Oreochromis niloticus: one gene and its partner. The protein of the gene in region 1 purifies or fractionates together with the protein of each later gene. This does not show direct contact. Links are inferred from orthologs where the notes say so. Each region holds a gene or a part of one and is shown in the gene's direction. Other genes may lie near its edges.

The links.
Region 2: the proteins of npm3 (region 1) and rpl6 purify together in Homo sapiens (affinity purification with mass spectrometry; 3 studies listed by BioGRID and IntAct, with this or other methods). This does not show direct contact. The link is inferred for Oreochromis niloticus from reciprocal best matches to the Homo sapiens genes NPM3 and RPL6.

What each region holds. Positions count from the first base shown.
Region 1 is NC_031978.2:18,872,762-18,880,373, forward strand, and holds the start of npm3 (nucleoplasmin-3), read left to right. Parts: upstream 1-4,599; 5' UTR 4,600-4,723; coding exon 4,724-4,796; intron 4,797-4,988; coding exon 4,989-5,080; intron 5,081-5,162; coding exon 5,163-5,282; intron 5,283-5,356; coding exon 5,357-5,450; intron 5,451-7,324; coding exon 7,325-7,431; 3' UTR 7,432-7,612. Other genes in the region: oga (protein O-GlcNAcase), read left to right, coding at 1-167, 264-423, 707-843. UniProt on the Homo sapiens protein: Plays a role in the regulation of diverse cellular processes such as ribosome biogenesis, chromatin remodeling or protein chaperoning. Modulates the histone chaperone function and the RNA-binding activity of nucleolar phosphoprotein B23/NPM.
Region 2 is NC_031977.2:25,905,327-25,912,614, forward strand, and holds the start of rpl6 (large ribosomal subunit protein eL6), read left to right. Parts: upstream 1-4,276; 5' UTR 4,277-4,291; intron 4,292-7,288.

The sequences.
Region 1 (7,612 bases):
GTTCAGACTATGGGTTTGTGTTGGAGGATGATGAAGGGATCTGTGGTTATGCTCTCGGCACCGTAGATGTTAAACCCTTTATCAAGAAATGCAAGTTGAGCTGGATTCCCTTCATGCAAGAGAAATACCACAAACCTGACTGTGATAAGGACCTCACAGAGGCTGAGGTATGCTTATAATCCATTTCTTTCTATCATAATATTGAGCGTCATGATTGTGCGTCCTTTTGTTAAGATTACTAAAGCACTCTTTCATTATTGTAGAAGATGATACTGACTTTCCATGAAGAGGAGGAGGGTCTGCCGGACTCTTTCCTCTCCAACTTTCCCTCTCTCATCAAGGTTGACATTCACGCCAAAGTCACTGACCCCAGTGTGGCCAAAAGCATGATGGGCTGTCTGTTATCTTCTCTTAAGGCCAACGGTAGGTAGCAGCCAACCGTGTCTTTAGCCTCCTGCCTCATAACCACTCCGTAGAAGTATTGATTCATTAAGTTTATTTTTCAAGTTTTAGTAAAGTGGAAAACAAAGGTTCACTTATCTAGATGTAATGTGTGCATGGGGCCAAAGTCCAAAAACGACAAGATTAGAAGCCTACATGACTTTCCATTTTTATCATAAAGGCTTCCTTACCCCTTTTATATTTAATGTAAACAAACCAAGGGTAGTGAAGTTTGGTTCTCTTACCTGTCTCCTTTCTCTCTCAGGATCCCGCGGCGCGTTCTGTAAGGTTCGACAGACTGATAAGCGAATGTTGGACTTCTATAGTAAGCTGGGATGCTTTGAAGTGGCCAAAATGGAGGGCTTTCCTAAAGACATCATCATCATGGGCCGTAGCCTTTGAAGAAACATCCTGCGACAATAACGGACAAAGAGCGAGTTGACATAGTTTAAATGTGTTTGCTACCTTCATGAGAAAAACACTTTCATGGTGATTTTTATACCACGTTACCAATCTGGGCTCTTTTTAGGATTTGTGTGGAAGCACAGCGGATGCCTGTGCCCCCCTTAGATGTTTTGGCTCTACTGGATTCAGCACGTCAAAGGCCAAGGAGTGATCTGTAATCTCTTTCAGTCAGTAACACACAAGTGGGACTCCTTCTCTGATCCCACTATTCCTTCCTAGGAGGAAGGAAGGAAAGAGGAAGGAAGAGATGACTCCTTGAGCCCTTCTTAACCCACCCACCTCCTTTTTTTTTTTTTTTTTTTTTTCTTTTTTTTTTGTTATATCCAGTGGCCATTACATGAATTTTACCCGCATGCCTGAAATCAGCGTCTGTATCTGAAGTGAAGGCTGAGCTGTGAAATGAGGGTAGCCCGCATCTAATGTCGTAACTACCGCCACATCCTGCTTTCCCAGATGTGACATGGAGAAATGGTATAGTCGTTGGCTTAGGTGGAACATCTTTATGCAGGATGTGAAGTGCTGTTTGAGAGTTTGCCTTTCGTTTGCACATCATGGTATTTTCGGTCGCTCCAAATACTTGGAGATGGCTGCCTTTTAGGTAGTGTGTTTCTGACAAAATTGATGTGAAGCACTGTGTGTGTACACAAAGGGTGAACAGTTGTAGCTTTTTAAGGTTTTGCCAAGCCCTGAATTAAATGTTGCCACAGGCCAACAAAGAAAACGTCAAAGAGGAGGTCCTTTTGAATTACCGTTCTAGTAGTAGACATTTGGAAAGCAATTAAAGCTTTCATGTGTTCATTAACATGTTTTTCAGCCATTGCCTTTTTGTTCCTTGCCTTATTATTTTAGCTTTATAATTTCACACACGGCTAGAGATGGCACGTTGGCCTCGTTGTTTTTCAAATTCCAGAGATGTAGCCTCACACTCACAGTAACGCGTCTTGGTTTTTGCTCTACCAGATCCATAACGCAAGCACAAAAACCCTTCAGTAAACCTAAGCTGACTAAAAAGCCGATATTGTACCATTTTTAGTTGTTAAATTCTACATTTATCTAATATTGTTGAAATGTTTGTCTTTCCTAACTTTGCGTAGTTAAAATGTCAAGTTTACCACAGTTTGTTTCGTTCCTGTTTGAAAGCACGAATGTTTAAATCAACACTTCCTGAGAGTAGTACACCACGGGACCAAAATGTGTTAGGCTTTTTGTGTTGCTTTGTGTTTTTGTTTTTTGGGGGGGGGTTGTAGTTGTTGTTGGTTTTTCTTTTGCTTGAAATGATGAAGAATCTGAAATCTTCTTTTCTTCCACTGATATGAAATTGTTCATTTCACCAGACCTGACTGGCAAATTCACTTGTGTCATCCCTTAATGCTTTGTTTCAGCGTTGCATACCAGTAAATGTATTCTCAGCTGCGCTTCAGCGAGGTGCTCTTGGGATCACTGAGGTTGTTGAATGTTTTCACCAAATGTGAAAATGGCAATGGTTTCCACACTGTTTAGTTCAGTTGACAGGGTTTGGAGCAGAAATTTATTTACCCCCCCCCTCCTCACAAGCTCTTCATTGAATGTGTTTTTAAGTCAAAGCTATAATTTGCTTTTATGAATTTTTTTTTTTTGTTTGTTTGTTTGTTCTTTTAAAAAAGCACTTTCACTTATAGGAGTGTTTAACCAGTTAACTGAGGATCTGTGGTTGTTACTCAGTAGCTGCCTGCCAATGTGATGTTTTGAAACTGTGCATTCATAATGTGCATGAGTTGTAATGGATTTCTTGTGGCAGATGCTAGGAAAAAAATAACCTCATCTGATGCTACATAGAGGAAGAAGCATGCCACTCAGCCCTATGAGTATAATACTGTTGTTCTCGGACAGTCTGTAAACTCTGTCGATCATAAAGTGTTATTTTGTTTTCTTTATTGAAACTGCTGCCAGCAAACTAACGCTGGTTTAGTTAATCCCTCATCCTGTACAGCCGTCTTACCTGTCAGCCAGGTGTGAAACTCACCCACAGGATCTGCTCTCTGTCTGCTGAAACAGCGGTATAATTTTCACACTTGTCTTAAATGGTTCATTTTGCAGTTTGCTGATGCTTGAGCTTTCTCCTCTGCCAACTAGGTTTGATTAATATTTGGCTGTGAAAGAGAGAGGGCTCCAGTTGTAGATTTTCAGTTAAGGGGTGGGGGGGGTCATTAAAGTGACAGTTTTCCATTGTAAAGTTTGTATGTAAAATATATAAAATGGAAAAACTAATAAACGATAAGTGACTGTTGCTTTGTGTCCTGTGTGCCACTATTTATTTAGATTTTTTTTTTTTTTTTTTTTTAATACCTGTCTGTAGTGAAAGATTTCATGTAAGGTTTTTACAAGTAAAAGAAAAGTAATGTGTTTACAATAAAGGAATACTGACCTGTTCAGATGGGTCAGAAGTGACCTTTGGTTTAATATCCTTGTTAAAAGAATCTTTATTGCAAACAATTATGTAATAATCAGCAGCCAGTGGTTAGGTACACCTGTTCAACTAGTCATTAAGGCAAATATCTACTTTCATGCTACCTACTGAAGATCAAACCAAGCATCAGAATGGAGCTAAAAGATGATTTTAACTGACTTTAAATGTGGAATCTGTGATGCCATACAGGCTGAGTATTCAGAAGCTGGTGATCTACTGGGATTTTTCCTGCAGTAATTTCAAGGATTTATAGAAAGTGTTTTTTGTTTTGTTTTTTAAATCGGTGAGTAGCCGTTTTTTAGGTAGAAATGATTCGTTGAGGTCAGAGGAAAATGGCCAGACTGCTTTTGAACTGATATGAAAACGACCATAACCACTGATTTACAACCAATGTGTGCACAAGAGCATCTCTGAACACTGAAGCAGATGGCTTATAGCAGCAGAAGACCGTGCTGGGGTGCCACTCATGTCAAGTAAGGACAGGAACCCAAGGCTGCAAGTCACATGGGATTGCCAAAACTGGAAAAAACTTTCTGGATTTTTGCTGCAACATTTGTAATGGTATGATCAGAATTTGGCATTAACAAGCTGAAAGCACGAGCTCATTCCTGCCTTGTATCAAATACTCAGGCTCCTGGTGGTGTAATGGTGTGAGGGGGTTTTCTCTGCGTACTTTGGGCCCCTTAGTACCAACTGAGCATCATTTAAACACCACAGTCTGAGTATTGTTGCTGACCATGTCCATCCTTTAAGACCACAGTGTGTCCATTTTTGATGTCTGTTTCCAACAGGATAACACTCACAAAGCTCAAATCATCTCAAACTGGTATCTTGAACATGACACTTAGTTCACTGCACTCAAATGGCCTCCACAGTCACCAGATTTCAACAACAGAGCACCTCTGGGATGTGATGGAACATGAGATTCCCATCATGGATGTGCAGCAACTGTGTGGTGCTTTTCATGTCAATATGGACCAAAATCTCTGAGGAAGGTTTCCCCCTGGTTGAATCTATGTCACGAAAACAGCTCTAAGGGACTAAGTTTAAGCAGATATTATTAGCATTAGCAGATGGTATTGTTTACCTTATTATAATATTCTATATTTCACTTTATTTTACATTAAGTTCAATAGTTTTTAAGTTTATTAGCCACCGCTCTGAATCAGCTCAGGTAAATGAGAAGTTCATCACGTCTTTTACCCAGTCAGCGCCTGATTTCTGTGAAAGGAGGGAATTGCCGAGCCACGGGCGCGCACTGATGACGTATCAGGTACGCGTGTAGGCTGCGACGTGCTTGTTATTTATCGTGGAGAGCTCATTAGAGAGGAAAGCGCCAGCAGAATACTTAACTTTTACCGTTTCTGCAAAATGTCTTTCCAAGACGATGAATCCTCGGACGCCGGACTGAGCGGTCAATCCAGGCTGGAGAGCTTCCTGTTCAGTAAGGGCCTGTTAAACAGTCTGTCAGAGATGCTCTGTAGGCGCACACGTGGGTTTCTGCTGTGATGTTCCTACAGAAATTTCTCACTCCCTTTTTTTTTTACTGGGGGTTTGATTTTGGATTGTTTTGTTTTGGGGGTTTTTGTTAATAAAAACCGCTGTCATTTAATTGCTGGTCTTACTGTTATTCCAGATTGCGAGCTGTCCTCCAAAGTACCTTTCTACACTTTCCAAGGAGATGAGGAGGAGGAGGAGGACCTGGAGCACTTCCTTGAACTCAGAACAGTATGCACAGTTTTGTTACCATCATTGGGATTTATCAGCGGCACGAACACACCAGACAGATGTTGTGTTGTGATTGCTGCAGGTTTGCTTAGGTAACGGTGCCAAGGAGGAGAGCAATGTGGTGGAGGTGACAGCCATGAACCACCAAGGAAAGACGATCTCGGTGCCCATTGCCAACCTTCACATCAAGTGTCTCCCCATGGTGTGTAAACTGAGGCTGATGTGCTGCACAGCTGAAGTTTGATCTGTCTTAACTTTGATGCTTTGTGTCCTCAGGTGAGTCTGGGAGAGTTTGAGCTGAAAGCCCCAGTCACCATCCGACTCAAGGCCGGCACAGGGCCAGTTTCTGTCAGTGGGCTACACCTTATTGGTAATATTCTACTTTCTTTGTGCTTTAACACTTTAACACTGCCAGTACTGATATTCTAAGAAGCTCACTGACAATATCTCATCAGTTTTCAGCCCCTTCATTGTATTTATATCAAAATGATAGTAATCAGTGAATAATAGGAACTGATCCAATTTAATGCAGGTACTCTTTTCAAACTGAGTTGGCTGACCCAAATAAACATACAGCTGGAATTTTGTATTTTTATTTGTAGCTGATTATAAAAAATTGAATTCCTCTGCTTGACATTTAAGGAAGTTAATTAGAGTAATGCTTGGCTGCAGTTGAGTGTTTGACCTATTGGTCTATATTAGGGATGGGCAACAGTTTTTCGCAGTGTGACGTGGATAAAATAAAACAAAGACCCAGACATTCAAACGTTCCAATATGTCGCCCCTAACCCTGAATTATTCTAAACTACATGAATTTTGGTAGGCATAATATGTAAGAATAAGGTCCTTGTTTAAAAAATCAAGAGCTTTCTACTAGAAAGTTTGGATAAAATAGTCTGCTTAAATGCTGTATCAGCTTTTAATTTTCTATATTTTTTTAAGTGTTTAAGTGAAGGCGTTGTAATTAATAACAGGGGAAAAATGATTTGCACACAAGTGAAAGCAGTGCCGAACAACATCCGTAAATATGGGTTCTCATTTTTATTTCTTTTATTTATTTGGTGGGAGGCAGGGCTTGTTCAGTTTGCCTTAAACTCTTTCCCCCATGAAGATGACGTTTAACCAACTCCTCCGTAACTTTCACAAAGAGTTTTGACCTCTCAGTATGTATCGCTATCGTCATTTGAGGACTGTAACAGTAGTTTCCGGGTTTTTCCAAGTGTAGCTGCATAATCAGAGACGACCCTCACTAACTTCTGATGCAAACCCGTTCATTTTGTTTTATAAGCAGGCATGATAGATAACAGATTCAGGGGTTACTCCTAGTAGGCTTTCAAGGGGTAAAACGTTAAGGTCTGAGCTGGACTGTAGGCCATATTTTGCCCTCATCAGGTCTGCCAGCTTTCATTCCCCTGAAATTCCTGTTTGGTCAGACAGTCACCACTATCACCTTTATAAGAACATCAGCAGCCTTTCAGGATGGTTTTTTATTTTGGGGAATTTCTGCCAAAACAAACAACCTAATGAAGATCTTTAGCTCCAGCTTATTCATCGTACTTTTAAAAGAACGTTTACTCAAATTAAGTCCCCCTACCCCCGAGATGTTTCCTCTCTCATACAAGAGCCTTCTTCAGTTCTACAAGCTGATTGGGAATCCCAGGTATTTAACCTCCACTGGGGTTATCACCTTGGAGGCGGTCCTGACACTTTTACGTGAACCTGAAAATCAAGCTCAGTTGCCTTCGGCTTAATTGCTTAACACATATACTATTTTGAAAAAGATCTTTTGTACCTCACAGCTTTTGAGTAACTACAGTCTAAAGCGGCGGCATCAGGATCCAAACTCATTTAATCCTCAATACAGGTGAATGTCATGAATGTCCTCTGTAGTGAAACACCTGGAGTAACCTTGGTGCTCCCTCACCCTGGTAGACAAAAGGTTAAATATATCTCTGGGCAATAAAACTTAGTAACAGAAATGTGCCACTTACATCTTACAACTTTATTCCTTCTGCTGGTTCGAGTTAGTGTGTGCGTGAGGGTCAACCGTGAGGGCGCGTTCAATAAAGCGACCTTTCTGGCCCTTAAAAAGATAGAAAATGGTGAATCCTTTATCTTTTGTTCTTTCAATATGAAACAAAATAACAGAACATTAAAGGGCTGAGTCTCACGCTCGCAGTCTAGATGGTGATACCGGGATTCGGTGTAACACGGTGAGCTGACATTTTCTCCTGATCTTCTCAGTCTCACAGGTCGAAAACTCCGATGTGTCTGAGGATGAAGATGAGGAGGAGGAAGAAGAGGAAGAGCTGCCTGCTATCAAACCAGCAAAGAAGAAGCAGAAGCAGTAGGCGGCGAGTTCACTGATGGATTTTTTTTTTTCTTATTCTTTTTTTTCTGAAATAGCTCACTCTCTGATGCATTTTAAGAAATAACACTTTTTTTGTACCAGACGGACACATTTTGCAAAGTTCCCACTTCTTCCACACCGGCCGCATGAACGCTGTGTGTGGTGGCAGCTAATGGTGCAGT
Region 2 (7,288 bases), on another chromosome or scaffold:
TGTTATTTTATTTTTTGGTCATAAGCAGAGAGTGCTTGCTAGCGCTGTCCTAGAGGGACAGTAAACATGACGAAACTATTCAGGAAAAAAACACGCGTATATATTGATTATCATGACTCTGGTTTTACGTGGCCTATTAGCACAATTTTTAAAAACTATCACCTTGTTGCTTTGTCATCTTAAAGTGGTCGTGTGATTGGCTTACCACGACTACTTTATTCTTCCTCAGTCAAACAGCAGCACTCATGCGATTGTTTTGCCCCCTAGCTCCAGGTGTTGCGCCAAAAAGTGATCATGATTGCCATCCGCGGGAGCGCGCGCAGCTGCTTAAAGCTGTAGCGCCCAGATTACTTACGTGCGGTAAGCTGAACACAGCTTCAACCGTCTGTTTGTTGACGGTTGCGACTGCACCGCATTTTCTTGTTAGTAACGGTAACGGCGTTGTAACGATAGAAATAGTAATTAGTTAGATTAATCGTTACTGAAAAAGTAACGCCGTTAGTAACACCGTTATTCCCATCACTGGCTACAACAGCATGTTTTGGACCCTATTTAGAGAAAAAATCAAATTAAGCGGACGCTTTATAAGTCACAGCAATGTCCCCGCTTTATCAGAACAGTTTGAACTTTTGCTATATTTGAGTTAAAGTGTGTTTTAAATCTGCATCATGGATTTGTGCCACGGCATTACTTCCTTATTGTCATAGTAGGCTATGCGGCAGGCAAGGGTAGGATCCAAACACAGGACTCAGAGGCGGGAGAAATAAACCAAAAGAGGCAGCTTTATTGCAATGATACAAAAATTAGCAATGAGCAGAGGGAGATTGAGGACTTAAATACACACAGGATAACGAAAGGATGGGTGACAGGTGGGAACACAGGAGGAACAAATCAGACATACAGGGAGTGCAGAATTATTAGGCAAATGAGTATTTTGTCCACATCATCCTCTTCATGCATGTTGTCTTACTCCAAGCTGTATAGGCTCGAAAGCCCACTACCAATTAAGCATATTAGATGATGTGCATCTCTGTAATGAGAAGGGGTGTGGTCTAATGACATCAACACCCTATATCGGGTGTGCATAATTATTAGGCAACTTCCTTTCCTTTGGCAAAATGGGTCAAAAGAAGGACTTGACAGGCTCAGAAAAGTCAAAAATAGTGAGATATCTTGCAGAGGGATGCAGCAGTGTTAAAATTGCAAAGCTTCTGAAGCGTGATCATCAAACAATCAAGCGTTTCATTCAAAATAGTCAACAGGGTCGCAAGAAGCGTGTGGAAAAACCAAGGCGCAAAATAACTGCCCATGAACTGAGAAAAGTCAAGTGTGCAGCTGCCAAGATGCCACTTGCCACCAGTTTGGCCATATTTCAGAGCTGCAACATCACTGGAGTGCCCAAAAGCACAAGGTGTGCAATACTCAGAGACATGGCCAAGGTAAGAAAGGCTGAAAGACGACCACCACTGAACAAGACACACAAGCTGAAACGTCAAGACTGGGCCAAGAAATATCTCAAGACTGATTTTTCTAAGGTTTTATGGACTGATGAAATGAGAGTGAGTCTTGATGGGCCAGATGGATGGGCCCGTGGCTGGATTGGTAAAGGGCAGAGAGCTCCAGTCCGACTCAGACGCCAGCAAGGTGGAGGTGGAGTACTGGTTTGGGCTGGTATCATCAAAGATGAGCTTGTGGGGCCTTTTCGGGTTGAGGATGGAGTCAAGCTCAACTCCCAGTCCTACTGCCAGTTTCTGGAAGACACCTTCTTCAAGCAGTGGTACAGGAAGAAGTCTCCATCCTTCAAGAAAAACATGATTTTCATGCAGGACAATGCTCCATCACACACGTCCAAGTACTCCACAGCGTGGCTGGCAAGAAAGGGTATAAAAGAAGAAAAACTAATGACATGGCCTCCTTGTTCACCTGATCTGAACCCCATTGAGAACCTGTGGTCCATCATCAAATGTGAGATTTACAAGGAGGGAAAACAGTACACCTCTCTGAACAGTGTCTGGGAGGCTGTGGTTGCTGCTGCACGCAATGTTGATGGTGAACAGATCAAAACACTGACAGAATCCATGGATGGCAGGCTTTTGAGTGTCCTTGCAAAGAAAGGTGGCTATATTGGTCGCTGATTTGTTTTTGTTTTGTTTTTGAATGTCAGAAATGTATATTTGTGAATGTGGAGATGTTATATTGGTTTCACTGGTAAAAATAAATAATTGAAATGGGTATATATTTGTTTTTTGTTAAGTTGCCTAATAATTATGCACAGTAATAGTCACCTGCACACACAGATATCCCCCTAAAATAGCTAAAACTAAAAACTACTTCCAAAAACATTCAGCTTTGATATTAATGGGTTTTTTGGGTTCATTGAGAACATGGTTGTTGTTCAATAATAAAATTATTCCTCAAAAATACAACTTGCCTAATAATTCTGCACTCCCTGTAATAAGACAGGGGAAGCAAAACTGAACATGCAGAACACAGGACGAGACACTGTTAAAATAAAACAGGAAACAAACTGAGATGTAGACTAAGACACACTGGCTTGACACTGGGGCCAGGCGAGAAACAGACATGGGGACGTGACTGACACTAAACAGACACAAAAGGACCACCAATCATTGAGATGAAAAAAACAAACAAACGTGAAAATAAGACTGACTAACCACAGGAGGAGACGAGACACTGAGAGAGAGAAACTTAAAAATCACAAGGAACTGAAGACTAATTCAAACATACTTAATAAAAGACTTAAAAATTATCATGAAACTTGAAAGAACAGAAAGTTTTAAATATTAAGTAACAAACTCCATAAACTAGAAAATGCTAGATCATAGTATGTTATAGTTTCTTGGAATTTACTGGTGCTTATTAATAGTTTGTTCAGAAAGACTAGCAGCACTACAGCTTAGAGTTTGAGATCTTGAAACACTGCTATTCTGCTGTAGTTGGTGCTGGAGTCCTGCTGCTAAAAACCAGTGTTAGAAGAATAATAAACCTAGGAACGTAATGCCATAACATCACTGTGGTACAATAAACCATTTCTCATCTGAGACTCTAACAAACATCTACCTTCTTTTTACTTTGTGTCAGATGGCAGAGGGAGACCAAGCTGCCAAGAAGAAGAAGCGAGGGAGCCAGAACCCGGTTCTGGCCCGGGGCATCGGTCGCTACTGCTGGTCTGCTCGCAGGGCTATATATAAGAAGAAGATCAAGACCGCTAAGACCAAGAGGCAGACCTGTGGTGCCATACAATTTTTTTAATATGGATCAAACACATGCCACTTTTTCTTTGCCACTTTTTTAGATGATAATTTGTTTTGCTCCAAGTGGAGAATAAGAGTAAGGCTAGACCGAAGGCTAATGTCATCAAGACTGTTGGAGGAGACAACAGTTCGGGAGGCCAGTCGCGTGGCCAGCAGTGGACACGATGGTGATCTGGAAGACGACGAAGCAGGCAAAGCAGGTCTAGGGGTCAACCATTACAGCGAAGACCAATGGGTGACAGCACCGGAAACGTCAGAACCCTTCAGGTGGCTTGGTTGGTGGCTTGCGGTGATTGGCAGGTGGCCTGCTGAGGCGTGGATTCATTGGTGGCTGGCAGCAATTGAGATGGAGACCCTCGGGAGACCCTTGGCAGGTGGAATCCACTCTGGTGTCGTGGCAGGCAGCGGCGTGGAGTCCATGGCAAGTACTGGCATGTAGTCTGTAGCATGCGGCAGAGAGAGACCAACAGGCTTGGTCCAAGAAGCAGAGGGCGGTGTGGCATCTGAGCATCCCACAATGCAATTAACATGCAACATGAACGCGACAACAAAGGTGGACGTCGAGGCAAGAATATACTTGTTGCTCTGTCTGTGCCTTTTCGTCAGAATCGGGGAACACGGCATTGTTTTTCGTAGCCATTTCCCCCTTTGCCGGGTTTCAGAAATGGCGGTGTTGATATTCATGAACAAAATGCTCTCATGAATACACTCATGAGTATCACAATTTAGGACCTTCTCAGATTGCTTGGAACTGTGGCCGAGGAGGTACTAAAAAAGTATCTGGTACCAGGTACTCTGACCAAATGGAAAACCCTGAAAACTGAGGCAAACCGAACCGAGTTGATCCGAGGAGGTATTTATAGAAAAGGGGCTATAGCAACAGAAAATCATTATTTGGACTACAAGTACCATCACACCTTAACGTAAACTTAACGTAACGACGTTGGGCAACACCCTTGGCCAGCGTCCTTATATACGTCACATGCCCGGATGTCGGTCTTTTTTTCATAGCAAAGGTAAGACAGCCGTGCCTTCGTGTTACTGTAGGAAAACAATCTGCTTTCATCCGTGTTAGAGAATAAAAAATATTCTCTCCAACTATCATGAGACGATTCTTTATGTTTAGGCTATACGGTAAACATCATTATTGCCACGATTTATTCGTCATGTTACTGTAGATATGTTTAGATGTGCAGGTTTAGGCCGCCAGCTAGCCTCCGTACAGCCTGTAACGTTAGCTAGGCTGGTGGTAGAAACGTGTTGTATTCCTTCAGTCCTCTTTGTTATTTACTTTTTTAATTCGCTGTCAGTGTTTGGGTACTTCATTAAACCATGGAAATTTTAAGAAATTAATTTCGTCTTAATGAAAATGAAGAGGAGAAATGTCTGGTTGGCCGGGAAAGTTGTATTAAGTTGCTAATGGCTAGCTAGCGATACTTGTCATGGTCAGGGTTGTCAACTTTAGCGAGTTTTCAGACCCCCTTAGCGACTTTTTTTTCTAAAGAGCGACTAGCAACAAATCTGGCGACTTTTGCTGGTGTTATTGGAGACTTATGATGACTTTTTGACATGAAAGCATGCATCGCTCTTACTCTCAACAAGCAGTGGGTGCTGCCGTGGGCACTGTTGCTACCCGGAAACACAATCGGTACCACGCATGTGCAAATCTTACGTCACTTCCTCTCTTTGCCAACATTGCGACAGTTAATGTATTTGAATGACACGGTTAGCACCCAGTTAGCTCCTAGCATTTCTCAACAGCTCTGCCTTCTTTTCGACTGCCTGGGACATTTAAACAATGGATAATCCGTATACAAACAAATTCATGCTTTTCTCCTCAACAGAGAGCGTCCCCTGATTGGACAAGGCTCTGAATTTGGACACCCCCGCTGTTTCCGGCCGGACAATAACAACGGTGACATTTAACTTATTTTATCCGATAAATAAACATTTTAAAATTCAAGTTTGTTGTATATATATGTATATGTATACCCCCCACACAACAGCCCTTTTGAATTTCTCCCTAATTCTGAGGTATCAAGGTTGGCAAGTATGCCTACGCGTCCAAACTGCAATAGCGCATGGGCGAAGCCGCTGCTCCCGCCCTAACTGAAACGCTGTCAGTTCTTCTTTTACAGTTACTTTTTGTGGAACACAAGGTTTAAAACTACTTAAAAACACAAACACACACACTAAAAGTAACTCCGCCAGAGTGCCTATTTCGGGTCACTTTTGCAGGTCCCAAGCCCAGTTAAAGGAGGAGGGTTGGAATTGTGACATAAAAAAAAAAAAAAATGCTAAAAGAAATTTAATTTGTAGTTTAAATATATTCTAAATGCGTTTAGTGTGTTTTTTTACTCACTTTATGTCTCTTCCACAATGTTATTTCTCTGGCCTACAGTGTTCGTTACAATTACATAAGCATGACCAATTATGCAAATTAGGCGATGACATCATTTAGCAACTTCTAGGGATTTTTAGGACAGCCAATAGCAATTTTCCTTATTGAGGAGTTGGCAACAGTGTTCATGCTTCTGCATTTGTGATGGCTCTTTGGTAGCAACCAGCCAAATCAGTTTCATAGTATTTTATAGTTTCTTAGTATTTACTGGTGCTTATTAATAATTCGTTCAGAAAGGCTAGCAGCAGTACAGCTTAGGGTTTGCGGTCTTAATACTCGCAGGTTACAATAGTTGAGACCAAGATGAGGGCAGACCTGTGTTACCACACAAATGACTTAATATTGATCAAAGACATGCCACTTTTTCTTCGCCACTTGGTTTGATGATAATTTGTTCTGCTTCAGGTGAAAAAGAAGAAAATTAATGGTAGACCAAACACCACTGACCACAAGAGTGTTGGAAGAGACAACTGTTCAGGAGGTTGGTCACGAGTCCACCGGCAGACACAACTGTGATCTGGAACCCAACAAAGAAGGCACAGCGGGTCTAGGGGTCGACCATTACAGAGAAGACCCATGGACGACAGGACCAGAGGCCAACGACGGGGCGAAGGCGGGACCTTTCAAGTGGCTTGGATTGTGGCAATTAGCAGGCGGCCGGCGGCGGGGTGGATTGGCAGGTTTTCTGCTGCAGTGTGGATTGGTTGGTGGCTGGCACCCTTTGGAGGATTGGCAGGGGGATTCCATGCTGGTGTCCGCGGCAGGTGGAGGCATGGAATCCGCGGCAGGTCTCGAGGTGTCTGCGGCAGGCAGCGGAGAGGGACCAACTGATTCGGAGTGGAGTCCACTGCAGGTGACTCTGGTGACACTCTTCTTTCTGGTGCAGTCTTATAAGGATATTAATGACAAGCCACACTGTTGAAGTAGCAATGCCTCTGTAAGCACACTGTAACATCATGACATCAACAATACTGGACATAAAACCTGTCTTCAGGTTTATGTCTGTCCTGTACTGTTGCCAGCAGACAAGTTAGGAAAATATAACATTTGAATACAGAGTCAGAAAAGAATATTAAAATATGCAATTATAACTAGTTTTAATATAGTTATTTTTTTGTGGTGCTCTGATGGAGAAGGGTTTAAACTCGCCTATGCTACATAAGCTCCTTTTCCATTAGAACCTATTTGGGCCGACTCGCCACTAGACTTGGATCAAATGATTTTCCATTACAGTGTAGTACCTCGAAATGTGCATGGTCTCCAGACGTAATTAATATGCGAGATGAATGCTACAACAAAGGTGGACGTCCAGTCAAGAATATACCTGCTGCTCTGTGTCTTTTCGTCAGACTCGGGGAACACGGGATTGGTTTTTTGTAGCTATTTCCCTCGTTGCTGGATTTCAAAAATGGCGGTGTTGATATTCGTGAACGAAACGATCTTATTAATCATTGAGTAACGCCTGTGACCCAGCCAATCAGTGGCATGCAGTCTGACAATGTCACAATTTATCACCCGCTCGGATGGCTTGGAACTTTGGCAGAACAGGTACTAAAAAATACCTGGTACCAGGTGCTATGACCTAATGGAAAACCCTGAAAACCGTGGCGAA